Linked DNA regions of Coturnix japonica. The protein of the gene in region 1 purifies or fractionates together with the protein of each later gene. This does not show direct contact. Links are inferred from orthologs where the notes say so. Each region holds a gene or a part of one and is shown on either strand. Other genes may lie near its edges.

Region 1 (4,255 bases):
GCCCAGAAAACCACATGAAATTGAATTGGAACTGGTGACAATGAGGGGAAAACTAACAAAAAAGGCAATCTACCAGGGAAGTGGGTACACAGGGAGGCTTTTGAGCCACATCAGTGCAGTGAGGAGCTGCTGCTGCACTCAGACTGCATGCCCTGTGCTGGCTGCTTCCCCTTTGTGCCCCTGGGAGCAGTGTTAGCTTACAGCCCTGCTCTGCTGCTGGTGCTGCAGCTCAGCATCGCATCCAGTCCAGAGACTCTGTCTTCTTTCAAAAGAAGCTGGGTTTGCTTAGGGCACATTAATGGGGCTCTCAGAGGAAATGGATGCTGAGTAGCCAGAACGGTGTCCCTTCCTTTGCTTTAATACTCCTGTGTGGAGATCTTTCCCTCCAGAGATGGGCTCCAGGCCAAAAGAAGCAGGTTTTGTAGATGGAAAGCAGCGCTGTGACTTGCATCCTGAAACCACTGATGGCTGAATTCAGGAGCAAATCCCTCAAAGTGCTGAGCAGCGCTGACGGAGCACCACGCTGACACAGCACCGCGCTGAGCACACGCTCAGACTACAGGAATCATCTCATTGGCCTCGAGTGAGAAAGAAATGGCACAACCGTACCCGTGTTTTATCTTTATAGGGAGATTGAGTCGGGGAGAGCCCAGGAGCCACATAAAGGGGGAAAGCAACAGGAGAAAGGGGCAGCAAAGCGTGTGCGCTGCTGGTGAGCTGTGGCTCCGGAGGTGGCCAAAGGGCACAGAGATCAAGTGAGACAAACAGGGAAGGTTTTCACTCTATAGCACGCGTTATATCCCTGAGGTCACTGACTGCTCGGTGCTTTGTTCACCTTCTCTCTCTGCTTTTTGGTCAGTCTGCAGAGCTCCTGGCTCTGCTCAGAGCTGCTCGGGGCACGTGGGGGCTTTGAAGGTGGAAGGAGCGGATCACAGAATGACAGAATGACAGAATGACCCGGGTTGGAAGGGACCTCAAGGATCATGTAGTTCCAACCCAATCTCTGGGGTTAATTTACTCTGTCATTAAGTGACTTACAACCCACGTGTGCGTGGAGCTGGGCCGGCTGATTTCTGGAAGCATTACAACCCCCCCCCAGGGAATCACTCCGCTATTGTGCCCTTCCTCCGGAGTTATTATTGAACAAAACAAAGCTGCCGTTCATCTCACCGCGGTGAGGGGGTGGCTGAGCCGAGGGAAGGCGGATCGGAGCGGGCAGCGTCCCCCGGTACCGCGGGGATGGAGCCTGCAGGGGGCGGGCGCTGCCGGCAGGGGGCGCTGCGGAGCGCGGCCGGGAGGAGCCGCGGGCGGCGCCGTGTCGGTGTGTGCCCGGTGTGCGCGGTGCGAGCTGCGCAGCCATGAACAGCATCAAGAGCGTCCCCGCACGGGTCCTGAGCCGGCGGGCCGGGCACAGCCTGGAGGCGGAGAGGGAGCAGTTCGATAAGAACCAGGTGAGGGGGTTGGTGGGGCAGCCCACGGGGCCCGGTGGTGGATGGTACTCGGCCCCGCTGCCCCACGGCGCTGCCCATCCGTCCCCGTCCCGTCGGTTGCCGCATCCGAGCGGCCGGTGACCGGTCGGGGCAGCGAGAGGCCGCGGTGCCGGGTGGGAAGCGGCGATGTTGGGTTCGGGGAGCAGCAGCTGCACGAATAAACCGGCCATTCCGGTTCCTACGGGACGCGGCTCCTCCAGCCGCCCCGTCCCGTCCCTCCGGGCAGCGCCAGGAAGTAACCGCGGTGCGGGGAGGCCCCTCTGTCCGTCCGTCCGTCCGTCCGTCCTGGCTTTACTTCTCCCGAAGCAGCAGAGCCGCGTTATGGGGCCACGGTGTCCTAAAAGAGCTCCGTGCTAAGCGGAACCTTCCCAGCGCTGCCGTGTGGTATCGCTGCCCCGCACTGAGCCGGTGTTTGCAGTATAGAGTGAGCTTTGATCTGAACCATTCGATGGCTGTGATGTGATTTGCCTCCAAATGCTTTTTGGGGTCACATTGCGGTGTCAGCATCTGCCCTGCAGGTGAGGAGGCCCCGCTGTGCTCTGCAGTGTCATTAGAGGCAAAACTTGTGCTTTTGGTGCCCAACTTTTGCTTTTCTTGGCTACTTCTACCAGAAGGGTTGGGGTTGTGTCTGCTGGAGCGTTCAGACCCAACGTGCTCAGCATCCTCCAGGCATACAGCACACATGGATGCTGAGCGGTGCACTTGTGGTCCAGCTGTGGAGTCCTCAGATCAAAAGAGACCCAGATTTGCTGTTGTGCATTTGGAGCAGGGCCCCAAAACTGATCCCAGGGCTGGAGCACCTCCTGGGGCCGGGGGGAGCCGTGGGCGGAGAGGATGGTGCTGTAATTAAAGCAGCCTGGAAAGGAGGGGTGGATGTAACCCGCACTCCTTCCTTTGGACGCTTTGATCCAGGTTTCGTCACCGGCTCGGTACGCTGGGGCTGTGAGTAAGGTGCTCAGGGCTGCACCCGTGGTGGTTTTGTAACCCGCAGGTTTCGGGGTCTGACCTGCAGCCATCAGCACTGGGGTGGTGCTGGGGAAACCATCTGCAGCTGCGTGAAGGTTTCGGCCTGGTTGGTGGTGCTCAACACCTGGATGTCCCCATCTCTGACCTGTTTTTGGGGGGATCCTCTTGCCTTGGGGTTTGGATGCTGGCATTGGTTTGGTGCCACCCAGATCAGTGGGACTCATGTTGGATATGACACCTCCCACTGTGGATGTGAAGTGGCTCAGATCAAACCTCAGCACTGAATCACCCCCTAGGAAGGCACCCTCTGGAGCTTCTGGGCTGTGTTTTGGCTGGGCAGGTTCACGGGCAATAAACACAATGAAATCCCAATGGGGATCGTAGGTTTTGGGGCAGGTCCCAGTCTGTGGTGCTGAGCAGTGAGGATGTGGGATGGGGTTTGCTCTGCCCCGGCCCCATGGGGCTCCCACTGGTGATTTGGGATGAATTCTCTGTTGCTGCCGTGCCCAGCAGATGGCTCAGCCCTGCTGCCCCTCGTGCCAGTGCCTTTTTCCAGGCACTTCAGTCTCATTAACCTTCAAGTTAAGAGGATTACGCCAAGTCAATGGGGCTTAACTCCACTGCTGCTATACTGACCCACATGGCAGGGTAACGCCAGGGCTTCCCCCAGTGCATGAGAAGCAAAATCACCACCTGCTGCCACAGGGGATGCAGTGCCATGTGGGGCACCACCACCTCCATTTAACTCCTTGTGCTGGGAAGCAGTGACATGAACTGAGCCTGTATCCGAGTCCTGGGGCTGCTCACCCCAAAACGCTGCTGGGGACGAAGATCCACATGTTGGACCAGCTCTATATGGCAGGTTCCTGCTCCTGGCTGGCACTCAGTGGCGCTGTGCTGCTTTGGGTTCCTCCTGCCCTATTGACACAAAGCCGGTGCCCTGTGTGCTGCTCGTAGCTCAGGCTCCATGAGGTTTTACAGCCTGTGTGCAGGGAGGGACTGTGTTTTTCTTCCGGCACGAGCACCGGCAGCCTGGCTGCTTCCTGCCCTTCTGGCCCAATGCTTTTTGCTGCACAAAGGGCTCACAGCTGTGGGCACAGCCCCAGCGCTTGTGCAAAGGTGAAGAAGTGAAGGGAGGTCCTCGTGGTCTCAGCAGCTCAGATTTAGAGCTGGGAGTAGCAGCCAGGCCCTATTTTTGGTATAAAAACCTTCATTTTAGGGTGCAATTCAGTACATCAGTATACAGGTAATCCTCTTGATAAAGGCACTCCCCTGTGAACCGCTCTGCTCTGGGTTGTGGCATCGCAGCTGCTGCTCCCTCTGGGGGGCTGTTTTCCCTTCCCATTTCTCTGTTCTCACGCAGGGACGCCTTCAAAGCTGTGTAAAAACACCCCAGTTCAAAGGCTCCTTGTGATTGCACAAACAGCCCAGGAATGTGGCATCGCACTGTGCGTTGCCGCCGGCAGGGCACATTGCTGAGCTCAGGCTGCAAAGTGCCACTTGTTCAATGGGACAGAGGGGACATCCAGGGCTCTGAGGGCAGCCCGGCCCCGGCTGCTTTGTTCTGCATCAAAAAGCCTAATTCTGCAGTCCCAAACATTTGCCAAATGGAAAATGCAGAACGTTTTCCAAAAGCCCCCCAGCACTCGGGTTGCTCCCAGCTGGCAGTGCTGGGATGGAGGGGAGGAGGGTCCCAGGGGTCACAGTGCTGCTGACACCACTGTCCTCCTCCCGCAGGCCATCAGCATCAGCAAAGCCATCAACACGCAGGAGGCTCCAGTGAAGGAGAAACATGCACG
Region 2 (4,298 bases), on another chromosome or scaffold:
AGAGCAGCATTAAGCTGAAGAGTAAAACGGAGGGAGGCTGATCGTTGAAAGACCTGAATAAAAACACTGTCACAGAATCACAGGATCACAGAATGACCCGGGTTGGAAGGGATCTCAAGGATCATGTAGTTCCAACCCCCAACTGTCATTCACTTAAGAAGTCAATTTGAGAGCTTTCAAGCGTCACTCTGCTGACCCCACAGCGGATCTATATCTATCTCCTCACAGATACGACCCAAAGCTGGTGGCCGTCCCTCCCTCCTGAGGGCAGCAGCCCCCAACCGCCACACCCGCGCTGAGGGCAGCCAGAACCACGTGACCCTTGACAGGCTGGAAAGCTGGGCTCAGGTGAACCTAATGAGGTTCAACATGGCAAAGTGCAAGGTTTTGCACTTGGGCTGGAAGAACCCCAGGCACCTGTACAGGCTGGGAGGAGTGGTCCTTGAGAGCAGCTCGGCAGAGAAGGACCTGGGGGTCCTGATGGATGAAAGACTCAACATGAGCCAGCAGTGTGCTCTGGCAGCCTGGAAAGCAAATGGGATCCTGGGCTCCATCAGGAGAGGGGTGGTCAGCAGGGATAGGGAGGTGATTGTCCCTCTCTACTCGGCTCTTGTGAGGCCCCATCTGTTGTACTGTGTCCAGGTGTGGAGCCCTCAGTACAAAAAAGACATGGAGATTTTGGAAAGGGTCCAGAGGAGGGACAGGAAGATGATCAGGGGGCTGGAGCACCTCCCCTATGAGAACAGGCTGAGGGAGTTGGGTTTGTTCAGCCTAGAGAAGAGAAGGTTGCGGGGTGACCTCATTGCAGCCTTTCAATACCTGAAGGGAACTTACTCCCAGGAGGGGAGTAAACTCTTTGAAAGGGCTGATAATAGCAGGACTAGGGGAAATGGTTTTAAGTTAAAAGAGGGAAGATTTAGGTTGGATGTTAGGGGGAAGTTCTTCACTAGGAGAGTGGTTAGGCCCTGGAACAGGCTGCCCAGGGAGGTTGTGGATGCCCCGTCCTTGGAGGTGTTTAAGACCAGGTTGGACGGGGCCCTGGGCAACCTGATGTAGTAAAGGTGTATGTTTGGTGGCCCTGCCAGGCAGGGGGGTTGGAACTACATGATCCTTGAGGTCCCTTCCAACCCGGGTCATTCTGTGATTCTGTGACCGACCGGGTCTCGTCCGCAGTAGGGAAAGAGAAGAGGGGGGGGGGGATTGGGGCGTGTCACGTAGGCGGGGCGCCGGGGATTCACGTGATGCGGAGCGCCCGGAAAGCTCCGAGGAGGAGCCGCGCTGCCGCCATTTTCCTGCGGCTCCCAGTGTGTGTCCCCTGTCCCCGGCCGAGCGGAAGGAGCGAGGGGGAGGGGACGGCGGCGGCTGGGGGAGGGGGGTGGGAGGAGGAGGAGGGGTCCCTGCTCGGGTGACAGGTCCGTCCCTGAGGGCGGAGCGGGGGCCGCCTGAGGCGCGGCGGGGCCAGGAATCCGTTCGGTTCCATCCCCCGGCTTTTAGTCCTCCCGTCCCGGCCCCTGAGGAAGGAGCGGAGCCTCGCTCTCTTCCACCACCACCGCCATGTCCGGCCAAAGCCTCACCGACCGCATCACGGCGGCTCAGCACAGCGTGACCGGCTCGGCGGTCTCTAAAACCGTCTGCAAGGCCACGACACACGAGGTTATGGGGCCCAAGAAGAAGCACCTGGACTGTGAGTACTCGAAGGGTGACGGCGGCCGGGCTCTCCCTGTGTTCCCTTCCGAGCTGAGCCCACCCGGAGCCCCGAGGAACCGAGCCGGGTTGCGGGGCTGCCTCAAGGGAACGTGGAGCGGTGTAGGACGGGCTGGTTGAGGGGGTGGGGGTGGGTGGGAGCGGGGACGTGGCGATGGAGAGGCTGGGAGAGGCTGATTGCCGTGCGTGTGCCCTCCAGGAGAGGCCTCCGATCGGCTTTTCTTTATGCACAGGGCAATGTGAGCTTCTGAAGGGCAGCTCTTGCCGCGTTCCTCTTCTTTAGAGGATCGAGGGGTTTGAGGAGAGGAATGGGGTGTTATTTCCTCACCTATTCGTCTCGTTGGTCTCTTGTTAGAGCAGCATTCCCACGTCCTGTAGAGGAGGTGTGGGAGTTTCAAGTTGGTCACTTATTTCTCTCCCAGGATGTCTACTAGGAAAAAAAAAACCCAATGCTTTCCCATCGTGTTGCTCCGTGTATTCTTCTGTGTGAGATGAGCGCTCGAAGGACTAATCTCTCTCTTATCCTTTCTAGTCTGTGTCGGTAGCAGGGGGTATATGGGCCTAAGGGAGTTTCTTTAGACCTTCAACACCTGAGCTTAACATCCCGTACAGCTCCTATTAAAATTAGATCCAAAGTGGGAAGTCTTAAAAGGTTTTCTCCCAGTTTCACCCAGTTGATTATGATGAGCACAGAAGTTCGTATTAGTGCGTGTTCCATTAAGCTGTGAGGTCATAGGACTAAGGATGCACTTCACTTGGGTACTTGAGTGTATCACATCCGTTTATTCTAGATCTGCCCTCCTTCATCTGTAAAGAAAGATGCTGGAGAGGAACCTGTGGCTGTGCCTTCGGTGTTAGTGCTTCGTCCTTTCCTCCCACCCACGTTTGTGAGAAGGCAGAGTCTTTGTGCATCTTGAATTCATGCCTCCTCACTATGTCCGAATGACAAGACCAGCTGATAGTACTAGTATACTGCAGTTACTGCTTTTATTGTCCATCGAAACGTGTCTGACTTGCAGCGTAAAGAAACTCTTGGTTTATGAATACCTGAGAGAGATGCAGACCATTTATGGAGTAGCCATGGAACAGCTGCCCTGTTTCTTGCTGCTATTCTTTCATCTTTTGCCTTGAGATGGTGTAGAAAATGATTGTATGCAAGATGGTTTTTGTTGTCTGTTGTTGTATTCTGTTTTGGTCAGCTAGGGAAATCTAGGGTGGGTTGCAGCTAATTTCAGTCTCAGGTAAAGAAAGCACCTTGTCATATGGCTGATGTATGAAGCTGTGATGTTACTGAGTTTCTCACAACAGAAGGGGAGACTTAATACAAAACCTTTGCTTGGGGTAGTAGAAAAAACATAGTTCCAGGACTATCAAACTGACCCATCAACTGCTCTTTGGAGTTGTGTGTGTGTTTATTCAAGGGTGCTATTCTGAATATGTTTGCTGGGAGAGGTCCTAATCAAGACCTGTAGAATACTGTTCTGAAAGGATGCTTGCTATATTAGATCTTGTCAGAAAGCTGCTGGGTCGTTGCTGGATGAGAGGATTGCTTCTTTATTTCCTGTCTACTCTGGACTTAGAAAGAGGCTGGAACTGGGACTCTCAGATGATTCTTTTTTCAGAGCAATGTGAACTTCTTTTCCATTAGCTTTCCCTACTATCACTACTTTTCCAACCAGTAAAAATAGATCCTGAGAAGATCAAGTTTTGTCTGCTGCCTCTAATAAGTTCCTTGGGAACCTCTAGTCCTGCCATCAGGAAATGACACGGTTCCATATTTTGGAAGCCTTCTTTGTTCATACTGTTTATGGCTGAATGTTTAAAAATAAATGCCTTTCTTTTTTTTTACTGCTGAAGCTGTGATTCAAGCCCCACCTCTAAGTTATGTGCACATACTTTTATTAATAGTTTAATTCTTTTAACTGCTAAATACATCCAAAACGCTGACCTGTCACTGTGAATAACAGTGTACCGCTCTCCCATGGGCAGCGTCCCTCTTGAATATTTAAAAATATATTTTAATTTTTTAAAGCTTGGTTTCCTAAAGGCTTTCTCTAGACTTCAGACAAGTGAATGAGCTACGTTTTCTAGAGTTAAGCCTTACTTTTGTAGTGTTTTGTGGTCGTTGCATATTCTTCTTGATGTGGTATATGCATTACTTATGCAAACTTCTAATTCTGTGACTGTCCTATTTCTGAAACTTTCTTGTTTAAGCTTGAGCTGTTGTGAGCACATTGAAGTTGCCCAGCCTTGCACTAACCCGTATAACTGGGGAAAATGCAAAATAAATCCCTTTACGTGTGATCATCCCAACTCTTATTTAGCTTGTTCTTGATGGCCTATGGAGTTCCAAAACTAAAGGGCTTTCCTTACTGTATTTGTATGTTCCCTCAGTGACTGCTGCCTTAGCAGCTACAGTGTAAAAACTCATTCTTGGACCATATTGATCCTTTCCAGTTACAGATTTAGTTGCTTTTTTGGTTAGAGGGAGAAAGAATTAGAATTTGTATTGACAAGTGGGCTTAGCCTATGATAATTAACATCAATCATCTTGTGATCCACACTGGATATGCTGCTGTTTTGGAGGTCCCATC

Evidence for each region.
Region 2: the proteins of HIP1R (region 1) and PICALM fractionate together in Homo sapiens (co-fractionation; 3 studies listed by BioGRID and IntAct, with this or other methods). This does not show direct contact. The link is inferred for Coturnix japonica from reciprocal best matches to the Homo sapiens genes HIP1R and PICALM.

What each region holds. Positions count from the first base shown.
Region 1 is NC_029530.1:4,498,337-4,502,591, reverse strand, and holds the start of HIP1R (huntingtin-interacting protein 1-related protein), read left to right. Parts: upstream 1-1,276; 5' UTR 1,277-1,358; coding exon 1,359-1,451; intron 1,452-4,193; coding exon 4,194-4,255. UniProt on the Homo sapiens protein: Component of clathrin-coated pits and vesicles, that may link the endocytic machinery to the actin cytoskeleton. Binds 3-phosphoinositides (via ENTH domain).
Region 2 is NC_029516.1:170,349,613-170,353,910, reverse strand, and holds the start of PICALM (phosphatidylinositol-binding clathrin assembly protein), read left to right. Parts: upstream 1-1,271; 5' UTR 1,272-1,554; coding exon 1,555-1,684; intron 1,685-4,298. UniProt on the Homo sapiens protein: Cytoplasmic adapter protein that plays a critical role in clathrin-mediated endocytosis which is important in processes such as internalization of cell receptors, synaptic transmission or removal of apoptotic cells.